Linked DNA regions of Saccharomyces cerevisiae S288C. Changing the gene in region 2 together with the main gene of any one other region gives a genetic interaction. Each region holds a gene or a part of one and is shown on either strand. Other genes may lie near its edges.

Region 1 (4,831 bases), on a different chromosome or scaffold from region 2:
TTTCTTTCACCAGATTCGTATAGGGCTTGTTGCTGTGACTGTTGGTGGGGATGAAATGCCAAATTGTTAAAGGACGTTTCCAACGAATGTTGGGGATCATAATCATAAGCCATGTAATTCATTTTTACAACAGTATTCCAAACGAGCCGTGTATGCAAAAAGAATGAGGTCAAATCAAAAGATCAAGTACCAAGCCAGCTGATTCTCTTCTTACTAAGTTTGACTATCGTTTACATTTCTTGCTTGTTGTTTCATCAAACAATGTACTCTTTTCTTGTTTTAAATGATTTTTTAGCGGCGAAGGTAACAGCAGCAAAAAAAAAAAAGAAAAAACATTGCAAAATAGCTAATGGAAATGGATTTATTACTGAAATATGTAGAAATATTTAACTCGATAGATTTGATCATACACATATAATGCAAAATATATATATATATATATATATATATATATATATATATATGTGTGTGTGTGTGTGTGTGTGTGTGTAAACGTTCTTTTAGCATCTTGTATAGAAATAAATATAACCATTTTTTTTCATATCTTCAATGCTGTCGGCAGCAACTAGTTTCTCATCGTTATAAAGAACCCACTTCCATTTGTCTGCCACTAGTTTACGAATAAAAACAACATAGTGACCAGAATGGACAGAATTTCCCTTATGACAAATAACTGCAGTTAAAGCGTACGGTTTAGCGGTCGAATATCCAAGATCCTTTTTTTGTTGCTGTTCTTCATTTGGCACTTCAGGTTCGGGAAATGTTCCATCATCATCCATGTTGTTAAATACCCATTCAACACTACGATTAACATCTCCGTTGTTGAGTATCAAGGCTTTACGACATAAGTTGGGATTTAGTCCCATGGATAACATTGAAGTCAATGATACCTCATCCACTTCTCTCTTATCTTTCTTGGGGACATTAGGAGGCGGGACAAAGGGATCATTTAAATCAGGGTCATCCATATGCTGGAATAGCCAATTCATAGCGCTCTCAGCGTCTTGGTTTCCGGTGTTAAATAGGGCGCGCACGCTAGCATTTTGAGTAAAGCCCATTTCAATTAATTGAGAAATACTGCATTGGTTTGGCGTAAAAGAGCTACGGTTTTCGTCCTCATCAGGCAATAAGTTTTCAGTTTGAGGATCAAATCCTTGTGATAAATAAGACGAAACATCTAGCATATCATCCCTGTCTATTAAACCTGGTAAAGAAAGCTCATTACTTGTCTTAACAGGAATCCAGTTCTGTAATCTAATCCTTATTGGGTTCAAAATAAGTGTTTGAGGAAGAGATTTGAAACCAGGTTTTTTATTTGCGGTAACCTTTTCCTTACAATTAGCACATTTAAATTCAATCGTCTGCCCTTCAAAATACGCCTTGATTCTCTCTAACATATCTTGAGGTTCATCATTCTCCTCTAAGGGAATCTGTATAGCCTCTGTGGGTTCATAAGAATATTTAACCTTCCCGCAAATGTTACATTGGAGCCTATCCTCCATCATAAATCTAACTAAATCGTTGGGATTTGGAATACCTGAAGAACTACTTGAAAAAAATTTCTTGTCTAACAAGTCTAAAAGGAAGGTTAGAAATTCCATCGCATCCTGTTGTCTATTGGAACTGAATTCCTGATGATTTTGCCCAATGCATTTCTTGAAAGTAGTAGGTTTGATACCATTTGGATATAGTTCGGGTTCACATTTCATGGCATTGAGTAGCTTGATCCATTGGCACTTTAAATTATTGTCCGGATATACAACATCCAGTGGAAATTTACTTCCTAGAAAATCCAAGGACCAATTCGGGACGCCACCATTCACCAAGCTTTGTATAACCGAATTTAAGTAACAGGAATTACCCAAATTGATCAGACCACAGCCATAATTCTTACTAGCGGATAATTTTTCAAATTCTTTACCGCTAGAATCGACCATTCTAAATTGCCAATTTTCGTTCTGTTCCACTTGTAATTGAACTAGAGTCTTTTCATCCGCAATCTTTTCTTGTATGTTAATTCCGTATATTTGTAGTGCACTGCCTAAATTAACATTATCTGGAAATCTAGTTTCGTCGTCACATGCGTAACAATACAGATCATAGGTTGAAGAGCTTAAAGACCCTAATTTGATAGCTAATGGGTGATTATTATTACTCCGATAATGATCCAAAGCATGCGAGTGACCATCAATCCCGATTTGTTCCCTGCCACATCCGATATTACCACAATGTAGGCATAACCAGAGATTTTGAGTCAAATCACAGGAAGAGCATTGGTTTAAATTCACAGTATTTTCGGGCTTAGATGGAATTTGAAAGTTTTCTGTATGTGGACAGGTGCTGATTTCTAACACCCAGGAGTTCTTCTTATCCTCGAAGTCTTGTGACTTCGCCTTTAATATCTTTTCAATCTTCTCCAAGGCCGTAGAAGAAATGTCAGAGTCTGTCGACTTCGAAAGTACGGTCCTGGGAACATTTTCACCATTGAACCTTTGTAAACTCCAAATAGTGTTGTGGGTGTCGTCTTCTGACGTCTCAATTACCTGTAGCTTTATTTTTTTGTTGTTATTATTTTCTTCTACATTTTCTTGCTTAGGTTTCTCCACTTTAGCAATAGTTAAATAATTGGAATGTATGGTATCGCAAGCATATTCTGTGACTCGGATATGGAGTGGAACATGTCTGTTGCACGTAGCTTGGAAACAGTTTAAGCATATATTCAATGAATGTTTAGGTGATGCATTGAGGGCCAATGGTTCATTATAAGGGGATTCAAAGCAATAAATACACTCATCTTTTGAAACGACTGCAGGAACGTTAACGTTTTCTAGTACTGCTTCTGCCATTTCTGAATGTGAGAAAGACTTCGGGCTCTCTTTTTGGATGAATTTACCTGTCATCTCTACTGCCATTGCAAGTCGCTTTTCACTGTGATTTCATCAAGTGATAAATTTGATCTCATTCCAAACGATGTCATTTTTCAAAGGCACATCAACTGTTATAAATTATATCCTATAGCCACAAGCAATTATTAGTTTATGTATTGTGTGTATATTTATGTAACTCTATCCTCCATGATATCCTCCTAAATTTTCTGTCCCCTTGCCTCCAGCTTATACTATTATTAACCGAATAAGGATATAAATAATCATTCAAAGGAAGCAATACTTTAGTATACCGAAGAAACTCAAACTGAAAATTGTGAGAAAAAAAACATGGAGGAAGAATGAATCAAAAGAGGCCATTAAATAAAAGGGTAAATGTATGTAGTAGGTCCAATAAAGCTTTTCCACCACTTCTTCAATAGTATTTAGTATGCCTTCTGATTTCCCATTACGTCTTTTAGCTTCCTTAGTGGTGGGTATGTACACCATCGAGCTTTTATGTTGTGTCATTTCTTCCCCTTATGATATGTTCCACCTTTGTTCTTCCGGTTTCTACACTCTTTATCTCTAGTACTTTTAAAATGGTGTCATTTCTGTCAAATTGCGAGCACTATTACTCTTCACTTAACCGCTTCTCGTTAAGCGCGTCAGGAGTAAACGTCATCTCGCACGATATGCTTAATGCATATGATTTGAGTTACTATTGTTCTATCAATTTAGTTTTTGAGGAAGATATACGGATTGTCTGCGCCTCTATATGTAACAATGTATGTATATGATTTTATATGTGCTCTATTTATCGAATCATTTCTCGCTTCTAAAGACTGAGAAAAAAGATCTCCTTTTCCCGTTACTGCCACCACTACTGGATGCACTACTTGCCATCGCTTCACGACGGACCCTTTCCAAATCAAGCGATTGACGGGCCCTAGCGAAGGATTTTCTCATCTCTGATGGAGTTGAGGTGCTAATAGTAATGCTGCTATTGCTATCCTTATCCTTCGAATGCCGGTATCTTTCCAAATCGTGCCTTTGCTTGGAACCAGTCCTGTGTGTTTCATGCTTGCCATTTGACCGGGTTGACAGTTCGTGACCAGTACTGTGGCGCTTATTCTCAGTTATTGCGGTGGAAGCATGAGGTGAAACTCTATACGAGTGATGTGAATTTGGTGCTGGCGAGTCGTTTTTATTTCTATGCTCTTGAGTTAACGTTGGTGAAGACAGATTTACTTCCTGGAAATTCAGATCCAATGACTGCCGCGGTTGCCTTGTTGATACGCTGCTGAAGTCCTTGCTTTTGAATTGATTAGACTTACTAGCATCACTTGATCTTGCCTGGTCTTTATGACCTCTTTCATTATGGAGTGGTCTTCTTTCAGCTGTTTTTCCTCTCCTTGCATCATCCAAATCAATATCAATGCTTTCGCTGGAGACCATACTATCTCCCAATTCGTCTGTTGAATAATTGTTCCTCTTACTGGAACCTTTGCGTCCAGAAAGCTTAGCTTGTTGAATTGATGCAGACGATGAAGACGATGAAAAGGAGGAGACAGCAGCACCAGTATCATCTCTTGATAAGTCCATCTCATTCAAACTTAAATTTAAAACGCCATTTCGATTATTGTTCGAGCCTTTGATAGTTCCTGAACCGCCGGCATCTTCGATACCGCCAGTTTGAGGCTCATTTGTATCTTGGAAAGATTGCTTTCCTGCATCTTCTTTTAATGGAGATAGTTCAATTAAGAGAGCTTCATTTTTAGAGGATGAGTGCATTGGTTCATTTGCAGAATTTCCTGCAAGAATTGGAGGTTCACCCCCCTGAGCATTTCTCATATCTTCTGTGGTATGATTTGTTCTATCAGAGACGTAAGTACCATTATTATTTGCATTTTGAATTTGCATTTGCTGTTGGACTTGCAGTTGTTGCTGAACTTGCATCTGCTGCT
Region 2 (3,874 bases):
TTCAATTTCGAACAGTGCAACTCCTAATTTACACGGGTTCCCTGTTGGAACCGGGAAAGCTCCCTCTAGCTTTGACGATTCACTAAAACAAAACCCGTACAGCAACAAACAGGATGATGCTAGAACTGCCTTGAAAAGATTAATCGATGATCAGTGAAAATAGTCATAGATTCATGAAAACGATATGAGCCAAAAGGACCATTCAATAATCATGAAGCGTTAAAAAATAGTTTACTTACCTTTTTTCCTTCTTAAAGCATTTTCCCAGAGCTGATAGATAATATATTGAAGTAGTACTTATATACCTTTCAACTGATGCATGTGAATGGAGTTGACCTTCATTCAGTTTAATGTAATGTTATTTTAATTCAAGTGTAAAACGCACAATACGTAAACGAAAAATAATGAGGAACTGGCGTGAGGGACTGCATAAATCGAAATCTAATCGTTATTCAATTAGTTAGTAGGTGAAAATGTACAATAAATATTTCTAAAATCGATTCATATATAAATAATTTTATATCACTTTTTTTTTAACGTCCTAGGGAAGCGATATTGTATCACTGCCATAGTAATTCGTCAAAATTATATAACCACGATAAGGCAAACCACGAGCTGATTATACCTAATGAACAATAGACACTATATATCATTAATCCTAAGAATTCAAATTTTTGCAAAAATGAATATCTCCACTTGACTTCATCCAATATTTGTAATACGGTGACGATTGGTAACAATGAAAAGATGTACGTTAATGCCAACCTATCCAAGAAAAAGATTCTTCTTTCTACACTTGAAGAAATCTTCGTAGTTTTTCTAAAAGCGGCAAAATAAATTATACACCAAACATAAGTGTATAATGTTTTAATGAAAAAATCTTGGCCTTTGTACAGAAGAGGATACAAGGAAACATAACCAGCTGAGGCAACTAACATAAACGGTACCAAAAGACGACGATCAAATCCAACAAGAAATGTGAACGGAATGATGACTAGCATTATAGCTTTCTCATGCACATGCCACCCGAACAAAAACGATGCCAACCCACAGAGAGTCAACGAGCCAACAAATCTTTTGAACGATGGATCAAACAAAAGTGGAAGTACTGCTAAGACCTGGTAAAATATCGTCAAAATAAACGTTAATTTTGGAGGAATTTGAGGGAGAATAACAAAAAATACGTCTTGAACTAGACCTTTACTTCCATTGTTGTTTGCCGCGAGCCTTTCATTAATTTCCTTGATATTCTGAGGGATCAGAGGAGGTTTAATAAATTTTGTAGCAAAAGTGTGGACGTACGGTAATTTCAACATTACCGTAGTGAGTATTTTATCCATAAAAGAATACAACGCCCAGAAATTTGGTGCCCAATATGCATGCGTCAGTCCTCTTGAGAATGGGAATAACCTGCTCAACACTTGCGGCATTTGATGAGCAAATGGAAGGAAACAAATAGTGAAAATTCCAACAACAACGGTAGCCAACTTCAAAAGATTTGCCCATCTTATCAGGAACAAAAAATCTTTGTAACTTTTAAACTTGAAATTGTTGACATTGAGAACGTATGCTCTCAATAAAAACACGAAATAACATGGCGCCAAATATAAAAATATATGCTTGAAACATATGGCTGTAGTATACAGAACAGCGCACAAGATGTATCTCTTATTCTTGGCGGCGACAATGGAGCCTATTAGAATCGCAAAAAGAAAACCATTATATTGGAAGTGAATGTGATCTATTATTAAAAACCCGGGTGATAGTACAATGCTAGAAGCAACCACAAAACTTTGAGATCTTTCACTTAGCTTTGTAGTATTAATGTATATTTGAAGGATGACAAATAGAAGAATTTCGCTGAAGATGACAGTGAGTCGTTGGAAAACGATTGTTGGCAAACCGAACTTTCCGATCTCCACTATATCCAAACAACCGTCATCACGTACAGATTTAGGAACAAATTGCGATAAAAACCATTCAAAATAAGCAAAAAATGGCGGATAATCCAATGTCCATTGACTAGTGTGCTCATAATACCATTCGCTGATGGGCAATTTATTGGTGATTGCCAGCCAATTTCTATGAACGTCAAAATCTGTACTGAAGTAGTCAGGAATCAATAGTAATTTTAAAAACAATGTGCTTATCCAGAAATTCCATAAGGAGTAGCGCTTGGATCCCTCACCTTTTTCGGTCGCGGCAGTCTTCAAAACCTTTTTTGGCTCGTCATTTTTTTTTAACTTTGCCTTCTTTGTCACAGCCATATTTTGCCTCGAACGATCACCTTTCATCGTAGGCTATCCAATAGACGTCAAATGCCTTGCTGACCACTACAGAACTGTAATGAACTTCAGCTATTTTTAACGTATGTTATTCTATAATTCTATACCACTATTGTCGTTTTGAAAAATGAAATTTCACTTTTCGGAAGTTGTCCGCTAAGAACAACTAAGTGATAACAGTAAATTTTAAAAATGCTTTGAAAAATGGGTTAAGCAAAGGTTATTTACTATAACTACGTAGTGAACGAAACCATATATCTCTTAATTTGCAGCAGGGATTTTATAAACTTTCATACATCCTGCAATAACAAGCCATGGACTACGAGGATAATCTAGAAGCACCTGTTTGGGACGAACTAAATCATGAGGGAGATAAAACTCAGAGCCTCGTTTCAAATTCAATTGAATCAATTGGTCAAATATCTACAAATGAAGAAAGAAAAGACAATGAGCTTTTAGAGACCACAGCTTCATTTGCGGACAAGATAGACTTGGATAGTGCGCCAGAATGGAAAGACCCTGGTTTGTCGGTGGCTGGTAATCCGCAACTAGAGGAGCATGACAATTCCAAAGCTGACGATCTTATTAATTCTTTAGCCCCTGAACAGGATCCGATTGCTGATCTCAAGAATAGCACTACACAATTTATTGCAACAAGAGAATCCGGTGGCGCATTGTTCACTGGAAACGCCAACTCTCCCTTAGTTTTTGACGATACGATATACGATGCTAACACTTCACCAAATACTTCAAAAAGCATCTCTGGAAGAAGATCCGGCAAACCACGAATTCTGTTTGATTCCGCCAGAGCTCAAAGAAACTCCAAACGCAACCATTCTCTGAAAGCGAAGAGAACAACTGCTTCCGATGATACCATCAAAACACCCTTTACTGATCCCTTAAAGAAAGCTGAAAAAGAGAATGAATTTGTTGAAGAGCCATTGGACGATAGGAATGAAAGGAGAGAAAACAATGAGGGCAAGTTCACAGCTTCTGTTGAAAAAAATATCCTTGAGCAAGTGGACAGGCCTTTATACAATCTTCCTCAGACAGGTGCTAATATTTCAAGTCCTGCTGAGGTCGAGGAAAACTCAGAAAAGTTTGGAAAAACCAAGATTGGCTCAAAGGTGCCACCAACCGAAAAGGCTGTGGCTTTCAAAGTTGAAGTTAAAGACCCGGTCAAAGTAGGAGAGCTAACATCCATTCATGTGGAGTATACTGTAATCAGTGAATCATCATTACTTGAGCTAAAATATGCACAGGTAAGCAGGCGTTACAGAGATTTCAGGTGGCTATATCGTCAATTGCAGAACAACCATTGGGGTAAAGTAATACCACCACCACCAGAGAAGCAATCAGTAGGCAGTTTTAAGGAAAATTTCATTGAAAATAGAAGATTTCAAATGGAAAGCATGTTAAAAAAAATATGTCAAGATCCGGTTCTACAAAAGGACAAAGATTTTCTACTCTTTTTGACAAGTGATGACTTTAGTTCAGAGTCTAAAAAAAGGGCATTTTTGACTGGATCTGGCGCTATTAATGATAGCAACGATCTGTCAGAAGTCCGGATAAGTGAGATACAACTACTA

What was found. Genes that interact genetically often act in the same process or in processes that back each other up.
Region 1: mutations in ALG8 (region 2) and UBP14 together harm fitness more than expected from each alone (negative genetic interaction), as found in Saccharomyces cerevisiae (2 studies listed by BioGRID).

What each region holds. Positions count from the first base shown.
Region 1 is NC_001134.8:353,172-358,002, forward strand, and holds UBP14 (ubiquitin-specific protease UBP14), read right to left. Parts: upstream 2,847-4,831; coding exon 501-2,846; downstream 1-500. Other genes in the region: MUM2 (Mum2p), read right to left, coding at 1-122; TSC3 (Tsc3p), read right to left, coding at 3,153-3,395; serine/threonine protein kinase AKL1, read right to left, coding at 3,690-4,831. UniProt on the Saccharomyces cerevisiae protein: Required for the adaptation to the presence of glucose in the growth medium; mediates the degradation of enzymes involved in gluconeogenesis when cells are shifted to glucose-containing medium.
Region 2 is NC_001147.6:451,169-455,042, forward strand, and holds ALG8 (dolichyl-P-Glc:Glc1Man(9)GlcNAc(2)-PP-dolichol alpha-1,3-glucosyltransferase), read right to left. Parts: upstream 2,295-3,874; coding exon 561-2,294; downstream 1-560. Other genes in the region: MSA1 (Msa1p), read left to right, coding at 1-157; VPS5 (sorting nexin 1), read left to right, coding at 2,600-3,874; VAM10 (Vam10p), read right to left, coding at 2,701-3,045. UniProt on the Saccharomyces cerevisiae protein: Dolichyl pyrophosphate Glc1Man9GlcNAc2 alpha-1,3-glucosyltransferase that operates in the biosynthetic pathway of dolichol-linked oligosaccharides, the glycan precursors employed in protein asparagine (N)-glycosylation.